7 linked regions of the Daphnia pulex genome follow. Each later gene encodes a partner of the first gene's protein in a complex. Links are inferred from orthologs where the notes say so. Each region holds a gene or a part of one and is shown on either strand. Other genes may lie near its edges. The genes, in order: mediator of RNA polymerase II transcription subunit 4-like, mediator of RNA polymerase II transcription subunit 31-A-like, mediator of RNA polymerase II transcription subunit 20-like, mediator of RNA polymerase II transcription subunit 19-like, mediator of RNA polymerase II transcription subunit 24-like, mediator of RNA polymerase II transcription subunit 21-like and cyclin-C-like.

Region 1 (4,094 bases):
AAGTATATATACTGCTTGCTTTTTTATATTCCTGGACATTGTAAATATAAGTTAGAAATGCTGGTAATCTGGTTCCTCACTCGAAGCTGTATGGAATTGATTCAGCTACCACTGAACCAGCAGCCCTGGAGCTGGGGTGCATTGTAAATAATGTGAAGCACATGGTTGTTTGTGGACACTCAGATTGCAAGGTCAGTCAACCATAAACTTGTTAAATGATAACATAAACATAATGACACACAACTTTTGTTTCAGGCTATGAACCTATTGTATAGTTTTAAAAAAGGAATTGAAACCAACATGAGAACTCTCGAGAGATCTCCACTTAAAGCTTGGCTTCATCGCCATGGTAGTATTTCTCTAACTAAATTTGAGAGGTTAGAAGTGCATGGTTTCCAACAGCCCTTGACTTTCCCAATGGAGGGACCATTCAGACAATTTGTTGCCTACATAGACCCTGACAATAAATTTAGTCTAACAGATAAGCTCTCACAGGTAGAATTATGCCAAGTTATGTAATGTCTACAAATCTAATTGGGTTATCTTTTTTCAGCTCAACACATTGCAACAACTACAGCATATTGCCAGTTATAGCTTCATTCAAAGTGCCATAAATTCGGGGCGAGTACACCTTCACGCGTATGTATCATGTATCAAACGTTTACTCGTAAGTGTTTAATGTTGAAATTTATGATACTAGGTTATGGTTCGACATCTATACCGGAGACATCTACGTCTTTAGCCGCAAGCAAAAACGGTTTGTGGAGATAAGCGAAGAGACATCCGATTATTTGCTCGATGAAATACGCGAATACTTTGTGTGACCTTAACCGACGTGCCTCGGGTTATTATGCTGAAGAATATATGGAAATCTAGGTATTTTTATAGAGATGACGCACATCTCCTGAATTTATATGGGGAGTTCGATTCTAAAGCTATTTTGTAAATAGTGAGAAGTTAACTATAAAATAAATTGTTGCATAACTTTATAATGGAAAAGAATTTGAACAATTCGAAAAAGGAATTGCACAAATATTTATCTATTTTACGAACCTTTGAATGAGGAAGGTTTTCAAAAAGAAATGCGAAAGTAGAATAGTATACAGGATGGTTACCAACAATATTAAGCAATCGCGCAGGATACAGAGTGTAAATTGTTAGCTCACGTGTTTACTGAGAATCGGAAGATGAACTGCTACTCGAGTCCGTAGACATAACGTCGACATCTTCATTCTCTTTCTTGGGATTTTTGTGATCCATTCCACCACTCACACCCAAGTGTGAAACTGACAAACAGGGCATTTGCAGGTCATTTTGAGATAACCAACTATAAGTGCCTGCTTGAGAATTCGGAACTGAAGACCCCTGCTGCAAAGAATGATTAGGACGATGCAAAAGTTCTGGAAAACTCATGTGTCCATTGACATTCATTTCACCAAGACGGCCCAAAAATCCTAGCCGCATTTCAATATCTGAAAACCACCACAAAACAACATGAAACTACTGGACAGCAATTTAAAAAAAAATTTCTACCCGTGGGATATGGTCTGCGTAAATCTCCTTGCTGCCAATTCAAAGGAGCACAAACAGCGTTGGAAGCCGATATTCTGTGAGCAAATTTTATCAACTCTTCGGAATTTACAGGTCTGTTATTCGCCCGTGTGATTGATTGCAACTTTTGCTTAGCTTGAAAGATTGCAGTAGCCTGAAAAAGAGTAAGTTTATGAAATACTAAAACCAACAAAATAATTAAAAATAGCTTACTAATAGCTGCTCTGCCTCCTTAAGCTGCTTTTGAAGATTTCGAATCTCAACATCATGCCTTTCAACTTCTGTCTCTAAGGCAACTACTTTTTGTTGTAATACACCTTGTTCTTCAGCCAACTTAATAAAAGAAAGAATTAGCATTGAAAAAAATTATGAAAAACAAATAATTTTACCTTAAGTGTTGCCTTAAGATCAGTGTCTTTTTGAAGAACCAATTCAACAAGTTGAGAGTGTTCAGTACTCATAGGTTTCTGCTGCTTCTGGGCTATTAAGTTGTCCAAAAGTTCCCTAATAAATTAAAAAGATTAAGTTTAGTACAGTGACAATTATATTTTGGAAGATTAAAATTCAATAATCAAATTCAAAACAGTGTATGATACAAACGAGTGTGACAAAGTGTTCTGAATTTCAGGTAAACAATGGTATGATTACCTAATAAGATAAATAAATATATCATGCTAATGAACAATAGATAGATCTGAGGCTTTAACTTTCATTAAAAAAATTTTGAAGGAAGAACAATTGCACTACGTGATCAAAATAGTCGACGAACAAAGGCAGCCAAATCAAGAAAAACTTACTTTGCGATGATTTCGATATCGTCGATGCAAGTAAGCAATACTTCTCTGGTACTTTTTTGAGAAGTCATGTCTAGTTATTTTTATTCCTTTTTATAGAAATAGTTATAAAAACAGGTAAGTGAAACTTTCCAATCAAAATTAGTTTTTCTTGAATGCGGCTCGGCTACGGCTGCAACAACAACTAGAGAAGTGAGGTTGCCATATCTAGATTTAACCTGACCACGTATTTTTTTAAATTTCCTTATCCTTTATTTATGGATTCATTCGGAGTCGAATCACCGCTCTACAACGTGATTTCGTTAAAAGAAACTAAAAAATATAATAGTAATGAGATATGTTTGAAGTGTATAATAATGCAACACTGGCGACGATTTATGAATCGAATTTCGTAAACATAAACAGACAGCAGGAATCCGCTGTTCCGCTCTTGATCGTCTGACCCGCCCAAAGTTTTCCGAGCAATTTCTCAAAAACAAACTCCGGAAAGAGTGAAAAGACATTCATTTGTTTGCTTGGGTGAGTATATAGTCCAGCAATTCGACTTTAGAATCTCCAGTTATGAGGACTTTAAAACACATTTTGTGTTACAGATTCTTGGTTCAGTTCCTGTCTACAAGAATGTCGAATGACAAGTCTGTCAAAGTTAAGGTTGGAGAAGAAGAACGAGTATCGCAAAGTTTATGCGGTTGTTCGGTCGGAAAATTTTGGAAATGGAAGTACAGTGTCCATAAACAATGAGCAGAAAAAACAACTAGGTATAGAAGGAGACTATCATGCCGGGCATATCATTGCCAAAATGCTTGGAGGATCGGGATCGGACGTAAATAATCTCGTCCCCATGCACAAAAATTTCAACAACAGTGCCTACAAATCTTTCGAATTTGAAGTCCGCAAGATGATTGAGGATTCTGAAAAATTTTACCCCGGAAAACAAGTAGAAGCTCGTATCACTGTTTCCTTATTTTACAATCAAGGTTCCAATAAACCATATCGAATCAAGTATGATGTTGCCATGTACGCTAACGGCGTAGAAAAGCCGAGTTACGTTGGAGATTTCAAACTGAATGAAAATGGACGACACTAATTTAAATCGAGGAAATTTTTGCTTTGACGCTTTTTGCAGAGCTATAACTCTGGCTTTTTGTAACCAATAAACATTTTTCAATGTTGAATGCGTAATCAGGCGCCGCGCAATGTATTTTTTTTACAAGAAAGCAGATTTTAGTACGTACAAGAGTGCTTTTACAGCCATCTGGCAACCGTTTTCGTTACTAACCTACCTAGTGTCTTCTGCAGTGGTTGATTTGTTGACGTTTATTGCTCGAAAATTCTCCAACCCACTAACATTTACTCGTTTAGTAATCAAATTTCAAAATGTCTTCTCCCTCGGTGAATACTTCATTGACTTCGTCCCCACAGAAAGAAAGAGACAGCAAAGAAAGAGAAAATCCAGATGAAAACTATGATCAGGTAATTTTCTTCTTTTAAGTTACATTAAATCTTAAGTAATTTCCAGCTGAAAGTTTTGCTGGTACATATAACATATTGCTGGTGGAAATTTTTGTATTTAAATTTGTTTTAATGCTTTACTGTTCATTTAATTTCTAAATGTTTCAATTTCTAGTTTGATGATGATGAACCTGATTTGCATTATGGATCCACTTCATCAGGCAGAAAGCGCCTCTTCAGCAAGGAACTTCGTTGCATGATGTTTGGATTTGGTGATGATCAAAATCCCTATACAGA
Region 2 (3,188 bases), on another chromosome or scaffold:
TTTGTTTTGTTTATTACATTGTTTAATTTTTTGTTTCCCCCCCCCCTCTCTGCGTCGACTGCTATATACTCGGCGACGTGACGCAAATGGAATCGGGGGCTTGCTGTAATTGCCTTCAACGGCAGGTTAACATCACAACAGTTGCCGAAAGTATAGAGACGAGGCGGAGTCAGTTTTTGGGCATTGTCCGTCGCACGTGCCACCGCCCACCGGTTCGTCTACCTAGTGGCAAAAGCGTTATTAATATGGCGGGGAAATGTAATGAGAATCTTTTCCACGAAAATTTGAAACTCCTCAGGTAAAAAAAAAAAAGGCTGATATGGGTCAGGCAATAAGCGGCAGGTGATTGATAAAAGCCCACACTGCCTCAGCAACAGCTGGATCATTTTTGTCATGTCACGCCACCTGTTGCTACCTACGCTCTACTGAATTCTGTGCTATCAATGATGGAATATTACTCCATCATTTATCCCGGACCGACGGCAGAAATCCGCGTTGAATCTATTTGTTACTCCAATCACGTCACTTTGCTGATTGAACTTATAATCATAGAAGAGTGGAATTTCAAGCACGATTATTAGATAATACCAGGGAATTAAGATTGATACGTTCATCCTCTTGATTGTCGCATGGTCTACCGGAAAACTCGGGGCCGTAGGTGAGAACCAACCATTATACATCCGCCGAGTGCGCAGGAGGATGGCTACGTAGTATAGACCTACCACATGTACAATACGTGAATATGCACTCAGACATGATACACCGCCCTCACGGCCGCGTGCATTATCCGGATGTCACGTATACACGGAGTAGATATGACACTTTAAGATGATATTTCTGACCTATACATGGTAGAATGCTATCGCCCCCGCACCGGATATCCGATCAAAAGTGGCGAAAATAAGAACAAAAGTCAAAGAAAAATTTCAACAGATTTCGTTTGGGTTGAATATTTTTGATTAGCCTACTTTCAAATATTTCCGTTCTGGAAAAGGACGATAAAATAGTAACGGAGGCGTAGAATGTCGCATATGTGAAACAACTGGAAATCACACGGTAATATATTCCATCTTTTTATTTTTCCGTTCGCCTTTCCTGCTGAATTCATAATTTTTCTGATTTGACTTTTTTATTTTGGTATTTTTGTTTTTCAACTCCATATTCCATCTAAATTCTTCTATTGATCTTACCTCCTACAGGAAAATAAAATAACTCACGGTGCAAACTGAAGTTAGTATAGTCTAGCCGTCTAGCCTATCAGCTGCGGCTTCATGGTTTATTAGGGTCCTACGGCGCAGCGCAACCGCAAAATGTTATCCAAATTCGGAAATCAAACTGTGTGATAAGGCCACCACACACATTAATAAATTGTGGGCATGAAATTTGAAATCGTTTTAATTTTTTTTTTATTTTGTAAAAATTTTTTTAAGTTAATTCAATTTTTAATATTTTCTCGATTTCTTTCTAGATGGCATCAATTGATCAAGCAGACGACAAATTGCAAAAGTTGACGCTTTCCAATTTCCATTTCAAGTTGTTGTCTGACGTTTCCATTCTGTCCGGTTGCCTCGTTTCTAGATTTCCAAAACTGTTGAAGCAAACTACGTTATTTCGTTGTTTGCTTCGCAATGAGCACCAGAGGTAAATATATCGTGAAGTGTAGTCGTTTTCAATACAGATTCTCATTGCTATGTTATTATTCCTTTTTCCGATGGGTAGAAACTGATGAACAACAAAGGATTCGATTTCAGGTGGAACTAGAATTTGTGCAATGTTTCGCAAATCCAAATTATCTGCACTGTAAGTATTTGGTCTATTTTTAAAATCAACACTTTCATTATGCCTTGTTTACACTAGTCCTTGCTCAACGTGGCTATTTTAAGGATCCGGCGTTTGTCAACTACATCAAGTATTTACAGTATTGGAAGGAGCCTGCTTATGCAAAATATTTGAAGTACACCAATTCACTTGCAATTTACCCTAACTAGAAATTACAATTTCATTATTTTCCAGGTACCCAATGTGTTTGCATTTCCTAGACTTGCTTCAATATGAGCATTTCAGAAAGGAGGTTGTGAATGGCCAGTGTGCTCGCTTCATTGATGATCAACAAATCCTTCACTGGCAACATTACACTAGAAAGAGGGTTCGTCTTCTTCAAAGTCAAGCTGAGAAGCACATGATGACTGTTCAGAATGAGCCAACACCCCAGAAAAGTGTTTGATTCATGATAATTATTGTTTAAGGAACTTTTTAAACTTCTCTTATATTGGGCAAGTATATGCAAGACAATATAGACAAATTTTTGTAAATTGCTGTATTTTGTGTTGAGTTTTTGCAAACTACCAGACAAAATGTTAACAACACATATGTTTTGGAAGACTTGTTTTGAGTGAGAATGTTTAGAATGGAATAGCTGCTGTTGACCTCAACTGATGGGAGCGAGTGGAAAATCTCTACATATTACGAGATTTGTCATCAGTTACTATACTCAACAACCTCAAAAGGCAGATTTTCTTCACTTCTTCAATCCCAATGTTTAGTTCTTCAGCAGCTGAGTGTTCCAATCTCTCAACTATTCCTTTCAAGATTGCTTCCTTCTTGTTCTGCCTGGCACAGATAACAAAAGGAAATCCAAACTTTTCTCTGTATCTATTAAAATAATAGCCCAAAAGACACAGCTCATTAGTTACTATATAGTTATAGAACAGTAATTTGTCATACTTGATGTTGGTCTCTCCTAGCAGTTGTTTTTCACCAGGTGTCATTGTGTCTAAACCAGCAGCTTTCTGTTCAGCAGTACTCTCCTGTGTTAGGCTGCCAAGTTCAGCTAGCCTGCCAGCCAAATCAGGGTGAAGTCTTAGCACCCCCTCTTTACCTATCAAATGAGAAAACAAATGTTCAATTGATTGGCTATAAATAAGCATTCAAGCAGCCTGTAACTAAATAGTTCTAACCTGTGTCCGGAAGGAGGTCCAAAAACGAGCAAATTTCTTGGTGGAGATGATGAACGTCACGAAATGGGCGATTACGCCAAATTGCCGCCGCGCAAATTGAACAATGTTCAACTACATTACCGAATCGACTGATGAAATCTTCATAATTCAATTCGTTTACCAGCGAAATGTTCAGCATATCAGCCATTCTTGACGTGTGTAGACCGAGCAAGTGGCGCTTGACGACGATCT
Region 3 (4,512 bases), about 720 kb from region 1:
AAAAGAACTAGGAAGGCAGGTAAATTATTACCTTTGGTTAACCTTTCCTCTGTGCTACGGTAGGGGGGCGAGAGAAAGAAGATCTCGTCGAGAAATCTCCCCGTCCGTCCGTCCGAAATGAAGACATTCCGATCGGGGGATGGCGCAAAAGAGAAGGAAAGAGAGAAAATATTTTTATATCAGGTGAAAGAGGAGGAGGTTATACATGAAGTAGAAGAAGAAGAAAAGAAGCGTCCATAAGTTGATTGGAATGCGTTGAATAATTCACGAGCTGGATTGATTTGGTTTAACACAGAAAAGGGCAGCAGCAGCAGCCACCACACCAGGAAATAAAAGAAGATGTATCCTATTACCGGGGGGGATGATGTGAGCCTGATGGAATATCACCAAGTTCCTTGTAAAAGAAGAAGAAGAAGAAGAAGTGAGCGAGAAAGCACATTGGGTTGGTTGCCCTTTTGTCGGGTGTTTGGGATCTCTACTCGATTGAGATTGGTCAGGGCCTCTCTCTTGATCTAACTCTGCGACGTGGTGTGGGAATCGTTCGTGAGAGATATCGCGTGTCACGAACCGATTGGGCCTAAAGAAGAAGAAGAAGTTTTTCTCCAGCCTCATCTCGTGTGAGAGACAGACGCAGACTTTGCAGCCGGGGTCCAACAACAACAACAACATCCCCCATCCCAAAAAACAGCAGCAGCTCCGGTCGGAGTAAGAAGAAAATCTCGCACACACAGTGATTTCCTCCTCCCCGCAGAGTTCCTTCTCTTCCACGTTTGAAATTCCCTCCTCTTTCCCCCCCCCCCCCAAAAAAAAAGACATTTGAATTACACTGAAAATTTAAGTTTCCCGCGTCATGAGAGAGCGTATTGGAATAGAATTGATTTTTTATTTCCAACCAAAGAAAAAAAAGCAGAGGGAGGCTGGAAAGAATCCCAGAAGAAGTAGAAGCCACTTGATGTCTTATCTCGAAGCAGTATTTTTTCAAATGGCTCTTTTTTCTTTCTCTTCTTTCTTAGCTTCCAATTTTTTAAAAAACATTTTATTTTGATTTTCTATTTTGAAAATAACCAACGCAGTTAATGGGTAGAATGTGGGCAGGAAAATCTGAAGAGGAATCCTTGTTCTTATATTCTTCTTCTGGCTATATGTATATCCACATGCACGAATATATAGAGAGATATACCTGCTTCACGTCTAGATATCAAGTGGACGGGCGCTACCGATCCGCCCAGCTGCTATACACAACACAACAACACACATGACTGCCTACCGACTCCGTGCTTTTGTGGTTTCCTTGTTTTGTTTGATTTTTTCTTTCTTTTCTTTCTTTCTCCCTCCGTCGGGGGTGGAAATAGAGGAGGAAAGAGAAAGAAGAAGAAGAGATAAGTTGATGGTGAGGTTTGACGTCACACTCGTTGAAGATTGAGAACAACTGGCGCGCATAGTTATTGTTTTCTTCTTTCTCTTTCTCCCTAATGCCCAAGGTTTCCTCCCGACACTTGGCGTGCGCTTTAGTTCTTTTTTTCGTGGGGGTTGTTGTTGTTGTTGTTGTCGTCGGTAGCGGAGGAGGAAGAGGAGGAATAGAGAGACGGGGGCGACGGAAGGCTGCGGCTGTTTGTGGTTTATCTGACATGTTGGAGAGTTGCCCGCAAGCTTTTTCGAGTTGCCATTTGCGAGCATTTCCAACCAAATCCTCCGACGAGATGGAAAAAAATCCGAAAAAAAAGGAGAAAGAGACAGACGGGGGGCTAGGCGCCATCATCATTATCCGGCGGGACTTGACTGATGACGCCATCAACTTGTCTATCGCCCTTGTTTTTGCAAACTGCCAATCTGGCTCAATTTCTTTTTTTCGTAGGAAATTTGATTTCTCTCATGTCTTGTGATGTGGGAGGGTTAAACGCCAATGTGTTTTTATCATTCATTTTCTTTTTATTATTTAAAATCATTAAACTTTTGGTTTCTTCATTTGGCAGGAGCGCCGAGATCGGTGCATTTGCTGCACAATTCCGAGACGCCGGCCTCCGTGTTCGCTCTGCTGGAGGCGGCCAGCGGCAACAAGACGGTGGCCCTGGTGGCCGACAACTTGTTCGACCTGCTCATGCTCAAGCTCTCCAATTTCTACACGGCCAAGAAGCAGACCAAGATCGAATCGAGAGGGCCGCGCTTCGAAGCCGGAGACTTCCTCGTCAAGCTCGGCTCCGTCACCATGGGACCGGCCTTCAAGGGCATCCTAGTCGAGGTATACATTAAACAGCAACCCAACCAACCAACCAATATCCCACGTTAGTGCATAGACAATAACGACATCAAAAACTTCCATCTCTATCTCGACTTGACGCTGTCGATTGTCTCCCTTTTTCTTTCCCTACAAGGTAATAATGATGAGAGGCTTTTTTCTGGCCTCTTGAAAAACAAGAAAACCCTTTGACAACATCCGTTTTCTCTGTGTGTGGAGGGAGAGCTAGAGCTAGAGCTTTTCCAGCTTCTTCTTCTTCTGTGTTTACAATCTCCGCGTGATGGTTCTTTTTTTCCGTTTTCGGTCATCCAGCACTAAATATGCAAGCGCCTCTTTTTCTTTTCATTTCACTCGGGAAGGTTTCAGACAGTTAATGAGCTTGTCAATATTGAATTAAAAGTGGGGTTGGGTGGGAGAAATTTAATTATTTGAAATGATCAAATCACTACGAGTCTACGAGCTGGCTCTGACGGGTTTGGGCTAATATTTGTGATGATGGACGCTTGAATAGAGCCACAGAGAGAGAAGGGCTGAGTCAATGTTGATGTGAAAAACGGGAGAAAGAAAAGAGACTCTGTCTCGTTTTCTTGGTTTTCTTGGTTCTTTGATTATTCGTGACTCGAGAGAGTTCCTCGCTCTTTTGGGTGCCTCTTATTATCGTACACGAGCCGAGTGTGTTGGCGCTGGGGCGGGCTGATGTTGTGAACAAAACAATTGATCATCCATCCAACCATCGGGGCCTTTTTATTTCTCTTTTTCCATTGAAGAAGAAGAAGAGAAGAAAAGAGAAGAAAAACGCGGCACAACTGGAAGGCGCGTGATATTCTCCGTCTGTGTTGTTACGTCATGGGCTCTTCTCATCTTCTCCTTGTTTCGTTTTATTTTATTTTTTGGTTTTGTTGTTGAGATGTCATGGAATTTCAAATGAGTTTTTGGGGGCGAACATTTTCTGACTCGGCTGAATATTGATTTCATATACTCCCGCTGACACTCGCAACAACAATAATAACAACAGCCAGCCAGCGACGTCTGCAGGGTCTGTTTATATGGATGAGAAACAATTTTTTTGTTTTCCCGATCGATTCTATCGGAGAGATAACTTTTGCCATCCGTTTTGACAGGTGGAATATCAAGCGTGCAGTCTGCCGGCCGCCTGTTGGGATCTGATCCGCGAGTTCATGCAGGGCTTCTTGGGCGGTTGCGTCCCATCTACTCCGCCTCCGTACATCCAGGTCTGCTCCTTCTTCCTGCTGCCCGTCTATAGGCTCAAAACAATTTTATTTTATTTTTTTCTTCTTCATCCCCATCAATATCAAATAAGAATTTACGATGTTTGCCTTTCGTCATGTTGTTATTATTCCAATTCGTCTAACAAAATTTTTTTTATTTTTTTCTCTATTTTTTTCCTGGATGCATAAATCTTTTTTCTGTTCCGTGACGGACCATCAGAGCCGATTCGGCGACATGCTGGGCACTATCGACGGCATCAATCAGTACCTGGAGCAGTTCAACGCTTTCCGCAAAACCACCGGCATCCGATAGATCGACAAACACAACAAACAACAACTCTATTTGCCCTTACACAACAACAACAAAAACGCGCCATTGCTACAACAAAATAAAAAAGGAAAAATACAAATAAAGAAAATAAAAAGAACTCCGCCGCTCCGGTGTTTTTCTATGTTACTTGGGTACAACTCTATTATCCATCCTTTTGGAAAAAGAAAAAAAAACTAAATGTTTTTTATTTTATTTTCTCTTTAACCGTGTTGATTCAAAAACCGCCGTCGCCCACCTTTGCACACACACTCGACCCTTCTTGTATTTTTTGGACTTTTTTTTCAAAGTTTCCCGCTTTTCTTCCGGGCGCTTTTTTTAAAAAACTTTAAGTCAACAAGAAAAATCAAGAGGACAACTTTCTCTCTTCTTCTTCTTTTATTGTGTTGATTTTGTGGGCTTCCCGTTTCTAAACAAACACATCATCACCTCAATGGATGGCCATTAGGGGTTCTCTGTTGTGTGTGTGTGTGTGTACCAAGTGCCATTTGCTATCCTCATTTTTTCCCGGAATTTTTTGAACATTATTTAAAAAATGGCGCGGTTTTTTCCCCCCATTTCAAAAATTCAAATTGCTGACTAGACACAAAGGAGATTTCCACGGTGTATGCCGTCGTGTTCCATCTGCTTTGATATCGTTCTCGGTTTGAATGAAACAAGAGACTCCGACGACGTCGTGCCACTTGATTGCGGGGGGGTCACAGAGGAGTCGACAGTTT
Region 4 (3,767 bases), on another chromosome or scaffold:
TGAAAAACTAATTCAAAGGGATGATGACAAGCCTGAAGCTGTCAGACAAAGATTGCAAACATATGAAGCCAACATTAAACCCATCTTGGAATTCTATGATGGTCATGGTATCTTAAAGTTATTTAAGGGGAGATTTACAAATGAAATTTGGCCTAAAGTGCATGGGTATGTCTTATAGGCTTAGAAATATTTTTACATTGTTAAAGAATACTGTTTAAAAGATGTCTTTTGTATTGCAGATTTCTGTCAGAAAGCATTCCTAAATCTAATTGAATGCTGCATGCTGCCTTATGATCTTCCTGCATTACTTGGTGATACTCATCAGAAGAATATGTGGAATGAGGTTTAGAGAACTTTGCATTTTAACATTCCTCTTATTAGTTTTGAAACTTAACTTGCCAAGAATTTAAATATGTTAAATAGAAAACTAAGAATGCAACATTTAGTTAGAAGCATTATGATGCTGTATTTCTTTAGATTGTCAACAGGTTAATGCAAATATGGGAAGAGAATAATCTTCAGTGATGAAAATAAAAATTACATCAGATCAGCCAATTGGTAACAAACAGCTTCCATGTTTTGATTGATCTTGTCTTGAACCACAGCCAATTCTTTCTTCAAGTGATGCACTTCACGCATGAGAATGTCATTTTCAGCATCCTCAATATGTTGCATGTCTTGCAACTCTTGTTTAGCCAATTGCAATCGAGCCATCTAAACAGAAAATCAACAAGTTTAATAAATCTTTAAATCTTAATCTTTAATAATTTTTTACCAGTTCCAGCTGCCTTTTCTCATAATCCTGCACTTTGATAACATGCAATGTCAGTTCAGGCTGCATGTTTCTCAATTGGCACTCAATTTTAATTATTTCTTCTGAGATTCGCTTAAAGTCTTGAGTTATGTCTTGAACAAGTGTACGAAACTGGATAAAGTCATAATTTGGTCCAGTGCTCAGATAAATCTTATGCCCTCTGGAAAGAAACAATACATGCAAAAATTACCTCATGTGAAATTTTTTAAATAACATTGTAACTCACTCATGAAAAATCTTGTAGGTGTGGACCCTTTCCTCTTGCAATTGCTGGAATTTCCTCAAAAGGCCATAAGCTGTGACTCCATCCATGTTGAGAATTATAATTTTACTAACGTGTAACGAACAAAACGGAATGAACGATCTAGGTAAAGAAAAGATACGAATTGTATTGTATATTTAAAAGGAAATAAGCCTAGGTTATACAAATAATTACCTTTGGAGAAACAGAGTTCTTATTATCACGGTTGCGAAGGTAGGTTTTCTATCCTCGTAACATCACGACTTGTGGTTCCAGAATAAAGAGGACGACTATATTTTAAGGGTGACGACCCGGTCCTTTCATCAACGCCCCTAGGGTCAATTCTGAGACAGACAAAAAAAGGGCTGGGTTACTGGGTTGGAAAAGCTGAGTCTGGCCTTTAAAAAACCCTCTACAATACACTAGGGAGTATGAGATAAGGATTTTTTAAAAAACAGCCTCTGCCTTCAGCCAGTTTTCTGACTTTTCTTGAGACTATTGAAGGACGCCGAACTCGAATTCGAAAGTTGAATTCGACCTCTGGCTAGATAGATATTTTTTGATAACATGAATAATAAAATATACATCAACAGTTTGATACTATTACCAGACGGAAATTGAAAAAAATTGTGATTAAACTCACCATTAAATCACACGAGGCGGACACAAAACTATCTACCCTAGCAACTGCCACTGAGTCTAAACCTCGTGTGACTTTTTGACTTTTGAAAGCGTGCTCTCGCCAACTTGGCCAATTCAAGTCCTCGGGCAAAAATATTTGCATAGAGGAGCATCTAGTTATATCTTTTGGGTACAGGTGGCGCTGGTGTTTCGTTATGCTTTTTCGCTGCTGTGTTTACTCTGTCAATTGTCATTTTTGGCATCCAACATTTGCCTGAATAATTTATTAATATCTATAATTACTACGATATATCGGATTCGACCAAGGTCAGTCTAGTCGGATACGGAGATTTTACAAGCGATGACCTCATACTAACGAGTAAAAAGGGTAAAAGTTTTTGACAAAAAATGTCGGAATCATTCACCATCCAAGTGGCCGATTCTCTTCGGAGATTTGAGCCGAATTCTCCAAGATCTTCTCCAAGAGGAAATCGAAGCCCAGTTGTTCCCAGGCAACAAGATTCCACTGGAACACTGAAAACCACCATATCACTTGGAAAGACCCCAACAATTGTTCATACCGGACCATTTTATCTTCACAAGGAACTGCCAGGTATACATATTTTACGTGACTGTATCATTCTTTCACTCAAGGTAAATCTATCGCAGGAGATACTGACCTAACCGGAGCAACAAATTTAATGGCTCACTACAATTTGGAACATTCATACAACAAATTCAGTGGCAAAAAGTTCAAAGATTCGCTATCTTCATTCTTACCTGGATTACCCGGCATGATTGATACTCCTGGTAACACAGACAATTCATCCTTAAGATCCATCATTGAAAAACCTCCAATCGGTGGCAAGGAGTTGGTATTCTTGAATTCCTCTCAACTTGCAGGATTCCGTCTTCATCCAGGACCAGTAAGAGACTTTTAGACAGCAAATCACATAATTGTTATTTTAATTTTCACATCTTTATTTCATAGTTGCCTGAGCAGTATCAAACCTCTTCCCTGGCCCCACTGAAGAAAAAACAGAAACACAAGAAACACAAAAAGAGTAGCGAGATCTCAATTCAAGAAACTGGAGCTGGAATCGCTGGACCGGGCATTGGAGTAGTAGGAGAGGGAGGAGCCGGTTCGGGCGGTGAATCCTACGAAAAAAAGCATAAGAAACAAAAGCGACACGAAGATGAGAAAGATCGCAAGAAGAAGAAGAAGGAGAAGAAGAAAAAGAAACAGAAGCACAGTCCAGAACACCCAGGAGCATCAGCCTCAATCGGTACTACAAATTCAAACAGTAACCCACCTGGAATGATGCCCTTACTTTGAGAAACCTTCTTGTCACGTCGATTTATTTCGAATTTTTTCTGCTTCTTTCGAGAGTATAAATAAAATTCCATTCAATGAGTGAATTTTGGTTTATTATTATTCATTCTTTCAAATATTTTCTTCTAAATCGGAGTTTGAAAGCTATAGCGTTGGCTTGCCCGAAAACAATGATAAGCACGTCACGATAGCTACACGCAAGTCACAATCGCTCAAATGATATGATCAATAGGGTAAAACAACTTTATATTCATTAATTACAAATACTAACAGTGAATGTTCGAACGCAAATTTGTCAACTGCTGTTGGTTCAAATTTCTTGATGAACCGTACCATGACTAGATAATTATTATTGCGACGACTCGTACGACAAAACGAACGAGTAATCATTTAAGTACAACAACTAAAAGTAACAAGCGAATCAAGTGATGTCCGGTGTGTGTTGCTTGGTCGATTGATGATGAGCTTTCAAGTCGGCTCAACCTTTTTACGCTGTTCGCTTCCGGCGGCCACGTAAGAAAACACGCAGAGAACAGCGTAACAAATCTGATCCGCCTGTTTTGTTTAAAAGAACAAAAAAAGGTTGATTAATATAATAACAAATGATTCAACAGAAGACACAGCAAAAGAAAAATAAATAAATAAAAAGCAGGTCAAATAGCAAAACGAAACTTGCCTTTGACCGGATCACAACAAAGAAACAGAATAAGTGGATTGCAGACCGTCTTTATCAAACTGAAAGTTTAATCCACTCAACA
Region 5 (4,815 bases), on another chromosome or scaffold:
AGTGAGTTAGTAGGAATGGGAGTACTCTGGTTGCTAAAGAAATGGCACAGCTTTCTAAATCTAAATGTGCAACTGACAGCGCTCCTTCGACGCACCGTTGTCTTTTGTCAGAAGATTGCTCTTTAATAACTGCCTGCGAGACACAAAGAAAGGACATTCAATCGCATACCCATACCTGCTAGGCTTGTCTAGGATAAAGTTCTTTGATTAAGTACCTTGACCAAAGAAGTGACCAACCATGTTGCTCCACCAATTTTGAATAGTTGATCAATACCCACTGTTGTGCTATGGTCTGACCAACCATGATTTAAAATCTTATTCCATAATTTGGTTAACTGATGATCCAAACTTTGATCTTGATTCTCTGAGACGCTTTGTAGGGGATTGTCGTCTTGTGCCAGACGCCGAATGATTTGCAGCATCAATACTGACCTTAATGGAAAAAAGAATTTTATAGTGAACGCGAAAAATCATTTGTTAGGGCATTATCGTAATTTACCTTTCCCTATAATGCTCTTTAGAGTCATCAAGATTCAGGGAAGTCATCAAATGATCGAGCATGCTCGTGGGCTTACTTTTCAGATTTGCTGGTTGTACCTAAAGGAGATGTCCACCGTATTTTAATTCGAATCTTTTTGATTTTTTTTTAATTGGATCTTTTCTTACTTGGATGTAAAATCGAAGCCAAGCGGCAGCACAAACAGACAGACAGCACATTTGAGTCCGTAAAGTATCGAGAATCCTTTCAACTTCTTCATCAGAAACTAATTGTGATTCGTAAGCCCCCAAAATTTCCCGTATTACAGCAGGGACGTGGAAACAAGCTTCGTGCCATCGAACGCTCCTATGAATAGAAATGGGCTTATTATTTTTCAAGAAAAAAATGGCGAGATTATTTTACCCTGATCTAAGGTCACTCTCTCCAGATGTCAAGGCTTTCAATAACTGATCAGTCAACATGGGATCGCAGCGACTTAATGACAAATCAGGCGCCTGATTAGGTTTCAGCCATTCTGAAGCCCACTGCTCAAAGAAAGTCTCCCCTCCTAGTTCACCACTCAGTATCACCTATCGATCATTAGAACAAGTAACATCAGAAGGCATTCAGGTGTGAATTATTAGATGATTTTCATTACCTCAATGCCGTACATTTGCGTAATACGGCAGAGCATTAGAAATGAGATGTCAAAGAGTAGAGCCCTTGCATTTGCAGTTTTACTTGGATCGGAACCAGCAGGTTGGCGATTCGCTTCGTTAAATCGCACGAGTTTTGTGGCAAAAGCTCGGAGTTTACCAGTCCCAGTTGCAGCGTTCAGTATGAGTTCGAAGCTTTGCCCCGAAAGCAAATGAGATAAAACTTTCAACAGCGTGTCCTAAAATGAAGATGTTATTACTTGCTCTACGTAATTCTCTACATTTTCCTTGATTACCTGATTTTTAGCGTAATCAGTATCCAACGTTTTCAGAATACTGGCCACCGTTGGCTCAGCACGAAGAACCAAAGTAGCTATTTGTGTGTTAGTGGTCTCTAACTTCAGACCTCCGCGGGATAGACTTTCTCTTTTGCTGAGGATGCTTGTAACATGCCATTCAGATAAAAGAGATGTCCGTATTTTCACTTCATTTAATAAACCTTCGACGACATTGCAATGGCATTTGGCATCGGTTGTTTCTAAAAGTCCAGGATAGCAAAGAAGGCGCTCAAACGCACCCGCGACTTCCGGACTTGGTTCTCCAATAGGCGAATTTGGATCCAATCCTGGATAAACGAGAATTTAATAGAACAGTTTGAAATTTTAAAATATTGCTAATCGTACCAAAAATTGATCGATGAAGTCGGAGTAGTAATGACGGTGCCTTGAGGAAAGTGAATACAGCCCAACGTAGCTCTCCAGGAGAATCAGCAGTTTCGGCTAGTCCTAGGCAACACGCTCTGAGGATTTCGCAATAGAGCTGGGTGGGTGAATAGCCTCTTAGTTTCTGTAGAACTTCCAACTGTCGAGTCAACTCAAGGCCATCTGACGTGGGGCGAAGCAACGCCTCCCAAGATATTAATGTATGTACGTCTGTGCACAATGAGTTCTCGTAAAAGGGCTTTTCGGGACCATTTTCTTTGAATAGATCATTTTCAAATGATCGGCATTGCCTGTGGAGAATTTGTTTTAATGACCACTCATTGACGAAGAACATCAAATGAAGTACCTCATGACTTTTTCGACAGATTCCACAAGTTTTTCTGATGACGGATTCCCATTAGTAGTTAAATTTTTCAGGTTGGACTCAGTTTGGTTTACAAGCGATGTAAGATGAGTTGCTGAAAACTGATCATTAGTGCAGCAACGTGCAATGTATAGAAGAGATATTAAATAGTTCTCTTCATACAAAGTCCCCAGTAATCCTGTAGTATAATGGCAAATGACTGAATAGTCATTGGTTGCACTATTATTATCAAATAGTTTTTTTAGTCCATCAGACGTAAGACTCCAAAGCCAAGTTTCCAAAGACAATAGAGAAGCAGCTAAAGCAGCAGGCCCATCGCCAGATCCAGTACATGAAATATGTTTCTAATAAATAATATTGTTAAAACCATATCTCAATTTAAGACTGAATGGGAAAAGTTACTATTGATTGCTCCACCAAAAGTAGTAACTCCAAAAGGCATCTGGTTTTCTGGATACTACCTTGAAGGCAGATATTTTCGAAAACAGCACTGTAGGAAACAATCTAAAACACACAAATGGTATGCAATTAAATATTAACAAGCAAAACAAAATGTGTTTAGTAATTGAATTAAAGTTGTGGTTTTACTTGAACATGTAATGAATGCTGTAGATATGACAACAACTTTGAATTTGGAGATGGTCCGATCAAAGCCTGCTGTAAAATGCTTTCTGCTAGATTATATGTATCTCCAGTTGATCCTGCTGGTATTACCTTTATGTAAAGAAAGTTTAATTTAAAACTGGTAAAGATATTTTTTTTTGTTACGAAATTACAGTTAAAGTACCTCTTTGACATATATCCCCCACATGAGATCTGTCCAACGTTCCCTCCAAGCCTTCCTCATCAAGTGCTTGAGCTTTTGCTCTACACTTTCAGTCATCCTCTCGATTATAGAAATTTCAAGCTTAATAACCTAAAACACAATTTAACAAACATATGTTGAAGTACGCCACAATTATTCGTTAAATTCTGAAGGTGAGGTGAAATTTTTGAGTTTGTGGTTTGTAGAGGAGCGTTCAAAGCAGACGACACGGTATACCATAAACACCCCAGCGGTGAAAAGTGGAACTACAAATCATTTTGACATTTTCGCGTGGAATTCAAACTACCAGCAGCAACGAATCGACCAATTAGTGTTTTACGTGCTTAACAAACGATCCCCCACTTGAAGGCCAATCCGTGTTCGGTGTTTTCAGAACCAAATCAATTTGACAATTTTAGTATAAAACAAAATAAATCTATGTTAAAACTTTTAGTTTTAACATCGGTTTACGTAACAGAAAGAATTTGGTCGCGGTTAAATGGTACACGAATTTTGTATGTATTTACGGATAGCTTTCATAACATGTGCACAAGAAATTTACCAATAGAATTTGCAGTGACAGGGATAAATTGTATTTATTATATAAAGTACTATATAGTTGCAAGAGGAAGGTCGGAATGAGATTGCTTGTTAGTTGTGACGAATTAAACGGGTTGATCAAACCCGTTGCCGACGTCTCGTCGGTCTCCAGAAAAATCCCCACTTCCCATGCCAAAGTGTCGATCTTCGGAATTATCTCCACTACCGGCTTGATGATGATCTAACGAATCTCCACTTCCAACTTCTTGAGATGATTCATATTCGTCTGTTAGAGGAACAGAATTCACGTTCAACGAAGTCTTTTCCGTACTTGAAGGCTCAAATCCGCTGCCGCTGCTGTCCGTATTTGTTGTAGCTATTCATGTTTAATCAAAATAATTTCAGCCATGACCGTCCGTGTATGCGATGATCAAAATATTACGACTACACCTGGTGGTACTGGTAAAAAGTCACGTTCATCGATTTCCGTATCATCACTCTCGGGTAAATCAGAAGCGATAGAACTCATTTTCTTTTCCATATCCTCATATTTTTCTATCTCCATGTGAGTACCATGGTCTTTTCTAGCTTCCGCTTCTGCCTGTTGACTGCAAAAATAGATTTTTTAAATTTTATTTAAAAATAAATAAGAATGTAAAGACTGAAGAAATTGAGAAAGTAGAACAATCTCCGATTTCTCCTCTTGTTGGATATTTATACTGTGCATGTACCGGTCATTATATGATGAGATGAGAAGCCCGACAATGGTCACGGTGATGATAACAATAGCTAAAATAAGGGCCAGTGTCAGCAATACGATTCTTCTTCTCAAGAACATCCTGGTTGGTGTTGAGTTACTATTTAAGGTAGGCTGGTTCTCGTGGACTATAATTAACAAAAAAAAAAAAAATGGCGTGAGATGTCGTGCTCAACTGCGTTGGAAAATGACATGAATCAATCGACACTTTTATTTTGAATTGTGCGTCATTATTACGGTACTATTTTTTGTGTTTTAGTTTGATTATGAATTCGGGAAATGTTGCAGCGTTCTGAAAAGTGAAATATTTTTTGTTTTGCATACACGCAGAGAAAGTTGGAGAGCCGATGAAGAACTTAGCGCGTGCTAAAACTTGAAAGGTTTATTTTTTTTTATTTTTTTAACGCTTGAAAGAGTCTTGTTGACAGGAGTTGAGAGGGACTGAAGAGAGGTCAGTAATTGCGACTTGTTAACATGGAACCGCTTTGAAGCA
Region 6 (3,153 bases), on another chromosome or scaffold:
TTGGACGATATCTCCTGCCTCTAGAATAAAAAGGACTCTGTGTATAGATGAAGAGATAGGCCGTGATGACATATTTATTGAACGGGTGTTATGAATGCTACTGCTGCTCGTCATTTATTGAGCAGCGCTCTGGCCAAGACGAAATCAATTGTTGTTAAAATGTCGACATTCCAAGGTGCCAAGGATCTTTTCGGCGGAATCATTGTGCGCTCGAGCGAAGAGCCACAAGAAAGGAACCGAATGGAGCAGCTTCTTAAAGGTGCAAATTTATTTTTATATATTAACACATCATTTGTTTTATGTAATAGTTGTTTTGTTTGTTTTTAGAATCTCTGCAAGTCTGGTCCACCACTGGAGTTCGTGGAGTCTGGTTTGAAGTGGAACCAACCTGTGCTGAATGGATTCCAGTACTAATTCAGGTAGTCAAAGAAGAATTATTGCTAGTCAAAACTGCACGAGCATTACCTTATTCATTTTCTTAGAATGGCTTTTCTTTCCATCACGCAAACCCAGAGTTGAGTGTGTTGCTCAAATGGTTGCCTTCTGACGAACCTTGTCAAGTGCCTAGTTATGCACACACAATGGTAGGCGCTGGAGCCATGGTTGTCAATGATAAGAATGAGATTCTTGTGGTTCAGGAAAGGTATTACAAAAGACCACACTGGAAACTCCCTGGTGGTTATGTAGATCCAGGTATGTATATTTAGACATCATTAACATTCAATCATTACCAATTATTAAATTTACAGGGGAAAGTATTGCTACTGCTGTCAAGAGGGAGGTGTTTGAGGAGACTGGTATTAAGACAGAGTTCGTTTCACTCGTTGCCGTGCGGCATTTGCAATCAAGAGAGAAGAATCCCAGTGCAAGGTTCGGCTGTTCAGACATTTATTTCGTGACTTATCTCAGACCTGTTGAAGGTAGCACAGAAATCAAAATGTGTCCTCGTGAGCTCAGCGACGCTTGTTGGATGCCGGTTAGTTTTCTAAATGTCAACATTTTCAATTATTCCTAGTCTGTGTAATTGAATTTTAAATATTTTAGCTGAAAGAATATGCGACTCATCCGCTTGCCTTCGAAGTTGGGAAAATCTTTGCTACACAGTTAATGGCGATTGCCGATGGCGATAATCCCGCAATCAACTGCCTGGAATCTATCCATCAATTGACTAATAGCAATAGCCAAATTTACTTAGTTGAAGGAAAACAAAATTTTAAACTGTAATGTGTTCAGGATCACGTTCTAGTATTTTGTTTTAGTGCCTGTTACGGGAATCAGATAACGCATTATATTTAGCTTGAATTGTTGTTTTAACAAATTATATATGCAGATCGGTAAATTACTGCCCAGTTCCTGTAATCATCAGAATGTAGAATTAATTTCACAATACAGGTTGTGAATGTTTAAATTTGGCATTGAAGTTATCAGATTCATCGCTAGGTGGCGTAATAGCCGGCACATCTGCTTTTCTCATCTCTGCATTTCCATCAACAATGGCTGATCGTTTGACACAACTCCAAGACGCTATAAATGCGGTATTTATAACTGATTGCATTGACGAAATTGCCAAGTGTATCGTCTCAAATTCGTGGTTTAATTCTCTGTTTCTAGCAAGCTGATAATTTCTGCAATGCCATCGGTATTTTGCAACAAACCGCCCCACCGGCTACATTCCCAGGTTTCGATCGAGCAGGCAATCGAACACCTCAACAACAACAAGAAGATCACGCTTCTCTTTTTGCCACATTGATTGCCCGCTGCGCCAAAGATATTGACGTCCTAATCGATTCACTACCCAGTGAAGATTCTACCTCCGAACTGCAGGTATAAACTTGGTTCTATTAGTATTCTGTCGGTGCAATGTTCTACGAAGTTGACTAAAATTAATTCAATCGCTGCAGATTGCAAGTCTCAGAAGGCTGGAGAATGAAAATGAAAGTGCCGCTGCACGATTGAGGGAGGTTGTCAGCGAAGGAGAGCTGATGCTCGAGAAAATTCAGAATGCACTTCACGACATTGCACAGACCCAACTGGCCATGCAGAGCACAGGTCCAAATTCCTAAATCCAACCATTATTTGCTCTAGTTCCCTATTTTTGATATTTAAAAGAAGAAAATGAAACAAACAATTTGCTCTGCAAGAATTTCGTTTCATTTCTGGTTTCCGCCACAACATCAATTTTAAATCTGTTCTTTTCAAAATCATATTGAGTGAACATTCTTGTCACACACAGGTGAGGCAAGTCATTTCAGGAAGGAAGGAAGATGGGGTGACAGATTGTAAAAGAAACTGTTTGAAAAGGATTCCAACCTTTTATATATCCACTTCTTTTTTTGTCTTCCTTTAGAAAACCCAAAATGGAAAGAAGGGGGGAGAGAAGTTGCTGTTCACTCGTAAGAAGAGAAAGAACACGCGGTCCGTTTGTTTAGGAATGGCGTGCAACAAAAAAAAAGAGGAGGGGGGAGCGGGAGGAGGAGAAAAAAAAAACGATAGAATGTTGTTTAGCTTTTTATTTTTTAAAAAAGAAGAAGTAGAAAAAATTCTCCCGTGTGTATAAATATAGTGCTGCCATCTTCTCCGACCCCTTTCGGCGATCTCCGGTCGTTCGGTAAGAAGGGGGAAAAATAAAGGGGGTTGGAAGTGGGTGGCGTTCAGTCTCCCCACTTCCTTTTTTTTTCTCTCTCCCTCCCCAACCCTTTTTTGATGCAACAACAGTGTCTGCGTTCAGCGATTATGTCTTTGGAGAAGATTACGTTTGGCAGAATTTCAGGTGAGTTTGAACAATTTGTTTTCTTATTTCACGAATTTTCCAGGGTAAATTTTGATGTTGCTCAGGATAAATATGAGATAACTGGGGAATATATAGAGTCTTATTAGTTCTATAGAAGAAGCGCCGCATACCGCTTCGGGGCAGCAACTGTGTGTGTGTGTATATCCCCCCCTTCTTCTTCTTTTTTAAATGTTTTTCTTTAAAGAAAACAAAAAATACTAAAAGGGAGGAGGAAGATGAAGAAAAGAGAGGGGGAAGAGTGCAGCTCGCAAAGGTCCCTCACTTCTTTTTTCCAACTCTTAAACGAGTTCTTCTTCTTCGGGCTGTCTGACTCCCCCCCCCCACCCAACCCCTTCCTTCCCCCCCCACTGAGATTCTTAACA
Region 7 (4,023 bases), on another chromosome or scaffold:
GAAACTCTCTCAGATATTTTTAGATAGACGGTTGGAACTTTTCCCTTTTTCGCTTTCGTTGTTGTTGAATGCAAACAACAGATTACATAGTTCACTGGCCCGCTTCATAATACGTCCATCACTTATTCAGTCGCTCCCATTTTCCCTTTTTTTTATCTGTGACAGTTTCGGGAAATTTAAGGCGAAAAGATAATAACTTGCAGCTCCTTCAGTTTTTATCGTCCCGGTTCGTTCGTTCGTTTTTTAAAAGAAACGATCAATTCTATTTTTTTGTTTGAGGGTCGAAAATTTTGAAAAAATGTTTGACATTTCCGCATAAAACGGGAAACGCGGTTGAGTTTCATCAACCACTTTTAAATTTTAATAGCAGTCAAGGAATTTAAAAAATATATTTTTTATTTGATTTGTTTTGGGGTTTTTTCTCAAATTACGACATTTCGTTCAAATTCGCTCTCAGTTTTGAATTTGTTACGTTTAGATGGGTGCGTGGCAAAATTTAAAATCCCCTGTAAACAACATGTATAACAATAGGGAAAAAACCGTGATAATTTTACAACCGGCTCAACCCGGATCTAAACATGCTAAACAGTTTAATTTTCTTTATCCGAGCTGTTGTTGTGTAACCGACACGCAACTCTTTTCCTCAATGTTGCCGTTTGTTTTCGGCAGGTTGTCATGATTTTGTATTTCGGGAAATCAGCCCTGAATCCATTTATTTACGGATGGAAGAACCGCGATTTCCGACTGGCTTTCGCCCGTTTGCTCCGCTACGTCCCCTGCTCCAAGTGGGCGATGGAGCGCTCGCTCAGCTCGGTGGAAATGGCCACCGGAATCGGATCGAGAGCTGGATCCATCCAGCCGCACGATCGACAGCGACTCAGTAAAATCTATCAGCTGGAGCTGCCACCTATCGAGTGGCAAATCAACTCCACCGACCTCTCCAACGACGACTACCTACAACGAACGATCCCGCCGGATCAGCAACAAGTCACGGACTTGTAAAAATTCACGACGGCACGTTTTGAAATAGTTTTTGTTTTTTCACGTTACGCCGGACGCATGCCAAGAATCGTTCAAGTCAATTCTCACGGGGGCTACACTCTTTATTCATGCAGGATGCCTCTGCTTCTTGGCCTGTCCATCGTTGCTGTTGACTGATGCGGGAGATATGTCACATGATTTTTTCCCCCCATCGGTTGTGTTGATGATATTAAAATATTTTCATGTCTTGTGTATAGGCTCCATTGAATGTTGATTGTATTTTTCGTTCGTGCCGATGCCACGGGATTCAAACTCTCTCTGACTGTCCATATCGTCATATAGCCCACACATATTTTGTATCATCTCTGTTTTCTTACTCAATGGTCCATTCCGCATTTTGTATTTTCTTATTTTTTTGCAACGCATTTCTTTTCGGCCTGATGTACTCATGATTCTCGTTGTTGTAAAACGGACAAGTGGTCAAATTCCTTCGTGTTTAGTAGCCAAATTTACATACTCAATTATTCATGGATCGTTTGTAACTTTGTAAAATGTAACAAACATTGTGTTATGAACGTTTCGTTAGGCGACAATAATATGTAAACAAATACGCTGTGTAATGAGTCTCAAAAATATTAAATCATGTTTATTTACGTCGAACCAAAGTAACTCATTGCGTCATCATCCTAATCACTCAAAAACAGTCATACAGTAAGTCATAAGTTTACAATTAATTAATTAAAACCAAATGGAATGCAATGTTTTGTTTTGTTGAACGCTAATAAAACTTTAAAAAAAACAGAACAAAATCACGAATACGATCGTTCACAAATCACTAAATCAGTAAATCACGATGTTTTCTTTTCTTTCGTTTATTGGCGTGCTCGGGTGCGAAAAGGCTTCCATGTTAGAAAATCCGGGCACGGCGACATTTTAATAAGCGCCGCCTTACGTCGTCTAACCTAACAGTGTCGAGCATCGTTTACACACAGTAAACAAGTTAAACCTCGGCCGCAGAGTATGGCTGGGAATTTCTGGCAAAGCTCGCATTGGTTAGTTTTTATTTGTCTAACGTTTTGATTCACATTTAATTACTCACTTTATTATTAGTCAGCAGTGGCTACTAGACCCTTCTGATTTGGTTCGAGAACGCCAAGGGGATTTCGCCATCGTCACGGAGGAAGACTATCAAAAACTCTTCATCTTCTTTAGTAACTGTAAGTTTATATTAACTATGGAATCATCTCCTAAATGTTGAATAATAAAAGTGTCTTTCTCATGTTAGTCATCCAGGTTCTTGGTGAGCATTTGAAACTCAAACAACAAGTCATAGCGACTGCCACAGTTTACTTCAAGCGGTTTTATGCCAGGAATTCCTTGAAATGCATTGATCCACTGCTACTTGCCCCCACATGCATTCTGTTGGCTTCAAAAGTCGAAGAGTTTGGTGTAATTTCGAACAACAGATTAATCACAACATGTCAATCAGTTGGTATGTGATCTTTTCATAAGACAAAATTTGTTATTGTGATTCAATCAACTTCTTAAACAGTCAAGTCAAAGTTCAACTATGCCTATCCTCAAGAGTTTCCCTACAGAGCACAACACATCCTTGAGTGTGAATTTTATTTATTGGAAAACATGGATTGCTGTCTAGTTGTTTACCAACCTTACAGGTGATCAACTGTTTCTGAGAAAATTTAAAGCATAATGTAATAATGTTTTCATTTGAAATTTCCACACAGACCACTTGTCCAATTTGTTCAAGACATTGGGCAAGAAGATCTTCTTGGATTGTCATGGAAAATAGTCAATGATAGCCTAAGAACTGATATATCTCTTCTGTACCCCCCTTACCAAATTGCATTGGGTTAGCTTGAATTATTTTTGTCTTTTATCATGTGAACTCTACTTCATTTATTTCTTTCTTTTCTTCTGTATTAGCTGCCATGCAAATGGCTTGTGTTGTGCTTCAGAAAGACGGGAAAAATTGGTTTGCGGAAATTGCCGTCGATACGGATAAAATTCAAGAAATAACGCGTCAAATTCTGGCTCTGTACGATCTCTACAAGACCTACGACGAGAAAAAAGAAATTCAGGGTTTGTTGGCCAAAATGCCTAAACCCAAAACGCAGCCAAGTCGGTAGGATATTCAATTTCCTATTTAGATCCCAATTCTTTCTTATTTGATCACATTGCAAAGAATAAAATTTTAAAATTGTTTAATACACTGTGATAACTATGTAGGCCTCCCTCGTCAGCACAATCACAGGATGGAATACAGGGCACAAATGACCAGTCCATGGGTGTGACAAATTGATTATCATTATCATTCTCATTTTATAAACTGAAAAACACAAAAAAAACTGTGTTATGATCAACTATTTAATACATGCTTTCTTTTACAATGAAAATGAGAACGCAATTTCTCTATTCTAGTAGTTTAGAAACAACATCAAGGCGGGGAGTACGTATGTAAGCGGCTTCGTTGAAAACGTTTCCGCGCTGTTACTTTGTTGGATTTTCCATCGTGCAATATTTTCGTTAGGATTGCCTTGATCACCGTCAAACCAAATACGCATGCAGGGCTCTGAATTATTGGTATACTTCCATGAATGATCCCAAACCTTTTAGAAAATAAAAATGTAATCAAAATTCTAGGGAGAATGTTAATACTGTTTACCCTTTCACAAAAATTAGATGAGTTTTGAAAGATATCGGAAAAGGTGCGACATTCGGATTCAGGTCGGCAGTGATTGGTCCCATTAATCCATTTGAAGTTTAATGTCCAATTGTCTGTACATGTGTAATCATCCTTGCAAGCATTGAACCAATCATCACAATCAGTGGCGCAAAGAGGCACGTCCAAGAATCTTTCTCTGCGCATTTTCATGTTTACCTAGATAAAAAAGAAAATATACAATTATTTTCTACAAGTTTAAAACATTCAAAACAAATGCTGCTGGTTATATAAAACTAGCATCTAGGCCTCTAGGTGGATCTGTGTTTCTAAAATTACAAAGCTTACAGACAACAATGTCT

What was found.
Region 2: the proteins of mediator of RNA polymerase II transcription subunit 4-like (region 1) and mediator of RNA polymerase II transcription subunit 31-A-like are in contact, whole or in part, in a cryo-EM structure (PDB 8TRH), measured with the Homo sapiens proteins. The link is inferred for Daphnia pulex from reciprocal best matches to the Homo sapiens genes MED4 and MED31. Residues at the interface, in NP_054885.1 of Homo sapiens: Glu147, Tyr151, Arg154, Ile155, Asn159, Ala160, Val161, Cys162, Ala163, Pro164, Trp167, Arg173, Arg174, Pro175, Tyr176, Pro177, Met182, Leu186; in NP_057144.1 of Homo sapiens: Gln19, Glu23, Gln26, Cys27, Ala29, Asn30, Pro31, Ala64, Lys65, Tyr66, Leu67, Lys68, Tyr69, Pro70, Gln71, Asp98, Ile102, Trp105, Gln106, Tyr108, Ser109.
Region 3: mediator of RNA polymerase II transcription subunit 4-like (region 1) and mediator of RNA polymerase II transcription subunit 20-like share a complex: the UniProt entries of both Homo sapiens proteins name them as parts of the mediator complex. The link is inferred for Daphnia pulex from reciprocal best matches to the Homo sapiens genes MED4 and MED20.
Region 4: mediator of RNA polymerase II transcription subunit 4-like (region 1) and mediator of RNA polymerase II transcription subunit 19-like share a complex: the UniProt entries of both Homo sapiens proteins name them as parts of the mediator complex. The link is inferred for Daphnia pulex from reciprocal best matches to the Homo sapiens genes MED4 and MED19.
Region 5: mediator of RNA polymerase II transcription subunit 4-like (region 1) and mediator of RNA polymerase II transcription subunit 24-like share a complex: the UniProt entries of both Homo sapiens proteins name them as parts of the mediator complex. The link is inferred for Daphnia pulex from reciprocal best matches to the Homo sapiens genes MED4 and MED24.
Region 6: mediator of RNA polymerase II transcription subunit 4-like (region 1) and mediator of RNA polymerase II transcription subunit 21-like share a complex: the UniProt entries of both Homo sapiens proteins name them as parts of the mediator complex. The link is inferred for Daphnia pulex from reciprocal best matches to the Homo sapiens genes MED4 and MED21.
Region 7: mediator of RNA polymerase II transcription subunit 4-like (region 1) and cyclin-C-like share a complex: the UniProt entries of both Homo sapiens proteins name them as parts of the mediator complex. The link is inferred for Daphnia pulex from reciprocal best matches to the Homo sapiens genes MED4 and CCNC.

What each region holds. Positions count from the first base shown.
Region 1 is NC_060026.1:12,376,166-12,380,259, forward strand, and holds mediator of RNA polymerase II transcription subunit 4-like, read right to left. Parts: upstream 2,541-4,094; 5' UTR 2,417-2,540; coding exon 2,349-2,416; intron 2,056-2,348; coding exon 1,941-2,055; intron 1,885-1,940; coding exon 1,765-1,884; intron 1,706-1,764; coding exon 1,534-1,705; intron 1,473-1,533; coding exon 1,171-1,472; 3' UTR 1,025-1,170; downstream 1-1,024. Other genes in the region: beta carbonic anhydrase 1-like, read left to right, coding at 52-191, 256-495, 554-639, 701-824; transcription initiation factor TFIID subunit 13-like, read left to right, coding at 3,723-3,818, 3,973-4,094. UniProt on the Homo sapiens protein: Component of the Mediator complex, a coactivator involved in the regulated transcription of nearly all RNA polymerase II-dependent genes.
Region 2 is NC_060024.1:13,244,859-13,248,046, reverse strand, and holds mediator of RNA polymerase II transcription subunit 31-A-like, read left to right. Parts: upstream 1-1,487; 5' UTR 1,488-1,628; coding exon 1,629-1,641; intron 1,642-1,719; coding exon 1,720-1,800; intron 1,801-1,857; coding exon 1,858-1,954; intron 1,955-2,013; coding exon 2,014-2,224; 3' UTR 2,225-2,312; downstream 2,313-3,188. Other genes in the region: 2-oxo-4-hydroxy-4-carboxy-5-ureidoimidazoline decarboxylase-like, read right to left, coding at 2,457-2,652, 2,725-2,878, 2,958-3,144. UniProt on the Homo sapiens protein: Component of the Mediator complex, a coactivator involved in the regulated transcription of nearly all RNA polymerase II-dependent genes.
Region 3 is NC_060026.1:11,659,726-11,664,237, reverse strand, and holds the end of mediator of RNA polymerase II transcription subunit 20-like, read left to right. Parts: intron 1-1,973; coding exon 1,974-2,239; intron 2,240-3,357; coding exon 3,358-3,468; intron 3,469-3,685; coding exon 3,686-3,778; 3' UTR 3,779-3,783; downstream 3,784-4,512. UniProt on the Homo sapiens protein: Component of the Mediator complex, a coactivator involved in the regulated transcription of nearly all RNA polymerase II-dependent genes.
Region 4 is NC_060023.1:10,279,772-10,283,538, forward strand, and holds mediator of RNA polymerase II transcription subunit 19-like, read left to right. Parts: upstream 1-1,867; 5' UTR 1,868-2,084; coding exon 2,085-2,289; intron 2,290-2,330; coding exon 2,331-2,602; intron 2,603-2,667; coding exon 2,668-3,012; 3' UTR 3,013-3,095; downstream 3,096-3,767. Other genes in the region: GTP:AMP phosphotransferase AK3, mitochondrial-like, read left to right, coding at 1-165, 240-273; required for excision 1-B domain-containing protein-like, read right to left, coding at 538-714, 776-974, 1,041-1,126; MAP kinase-activating death domain protein-like, read right to left, coding at 3,478-3,564. UniProt on the Homo sapiens protein: Component of the Mediator complex, a coactivator involved in the regulated transcription of nearly all RNA polymerase II-dependent genes.
Region 5 is NC_060019.1:9,366,180-9,370,994, forward strand, and holds the start of mediator of RNA polymerase II transcription subunit 24-like, read right to left. Parts: upstream 3,296-4,815; 5' UTR 3,104-3,295; coding exon 3,008-3,103; intron 2,935-3,007; coding exon 2,809-2,934; intron 2,725-2,808; coding exon 2,623-2,724; intron 2,565-2,622; coding exon 2,203-2,564; intron 2,147-2,202; coding exon 1,818-2,146; intron 1,760-1,817; coding exon 1,431-1,759; intron 1,374-1,430; coding exon 1,137-1,373; intron 1,069-1,136; coding exon 902-1,068; intron 845-901; coding exon 667-844; intron 598-666; coding exon 500-597; intron 433-499; coding exon 216-432; intron 134-215; coding exon 1-133. UniProt on the Homo sapiens protein: Component of the Mediator complex, a coactivator involved in the regulated transcription of nearly all RNA polymerase II-dependent genes.
Region 6 is NC_060027.1:1,945,624-1,948,776, reverse strand, and holds mediator of RNA polymerase II transcription subunit 21-like, read left to right. Parts: upstream 1-1,400; 5' UTR 1,401-1,493; coding exon 1,494-1,535; intron 1,536-1,611; coding exon 1,612-1,824; intron 1,825-1,901; coding exon 1,902-2,063; 3' UTR 2,064-2,140; downstream 2,141-3,153. Other genes in the region: nudix hydrolase 8-like, read left to right, coding at 91-259, 328-419, 483-693, 750-976, 1,045-1,224. UniProt on the Homo sapiens protein: Component of the Mediator complex, a coactivator involved in the regulated transcription of nearly all RNA polymerase II-dependent genes.
Region 7 is NC_060017.1:5,572,475-5,576,497, reverse strand, and holds cyclin-C-like, read left to right. Parts: upstream 1-1,873; 5' UTR 1,874-2,001; coding exon 2,002-2,033; intron 2,034-2,091; coding exon 2,092-2,198; intron 2,199-2,266; coding exon 2,267-2,473; intron 2,474-2,533; coding exon 2,534-2,657; intron 2,658-2,726; coding exon 2,727-2,851; intron 2,852-2,925; coding exon 2,926-3,124; intron 3,125-3,228; coding exon 3,229-3,301; 3' UTR 3,302-3,395; downstream 3,396-4,023. Other genes in the region: adenosine receptor A2b-like, read left to right, coding at 670-1,002; folate receptor alpha-like, read right to left, coding at 3,417-3,608, 3,665-3,880. UniProt on the Homo sapiens protein: Component of the Mediator complex, a coactivator involved in regulated gene transcription of nearly all RNA polymerase II-dependent genes.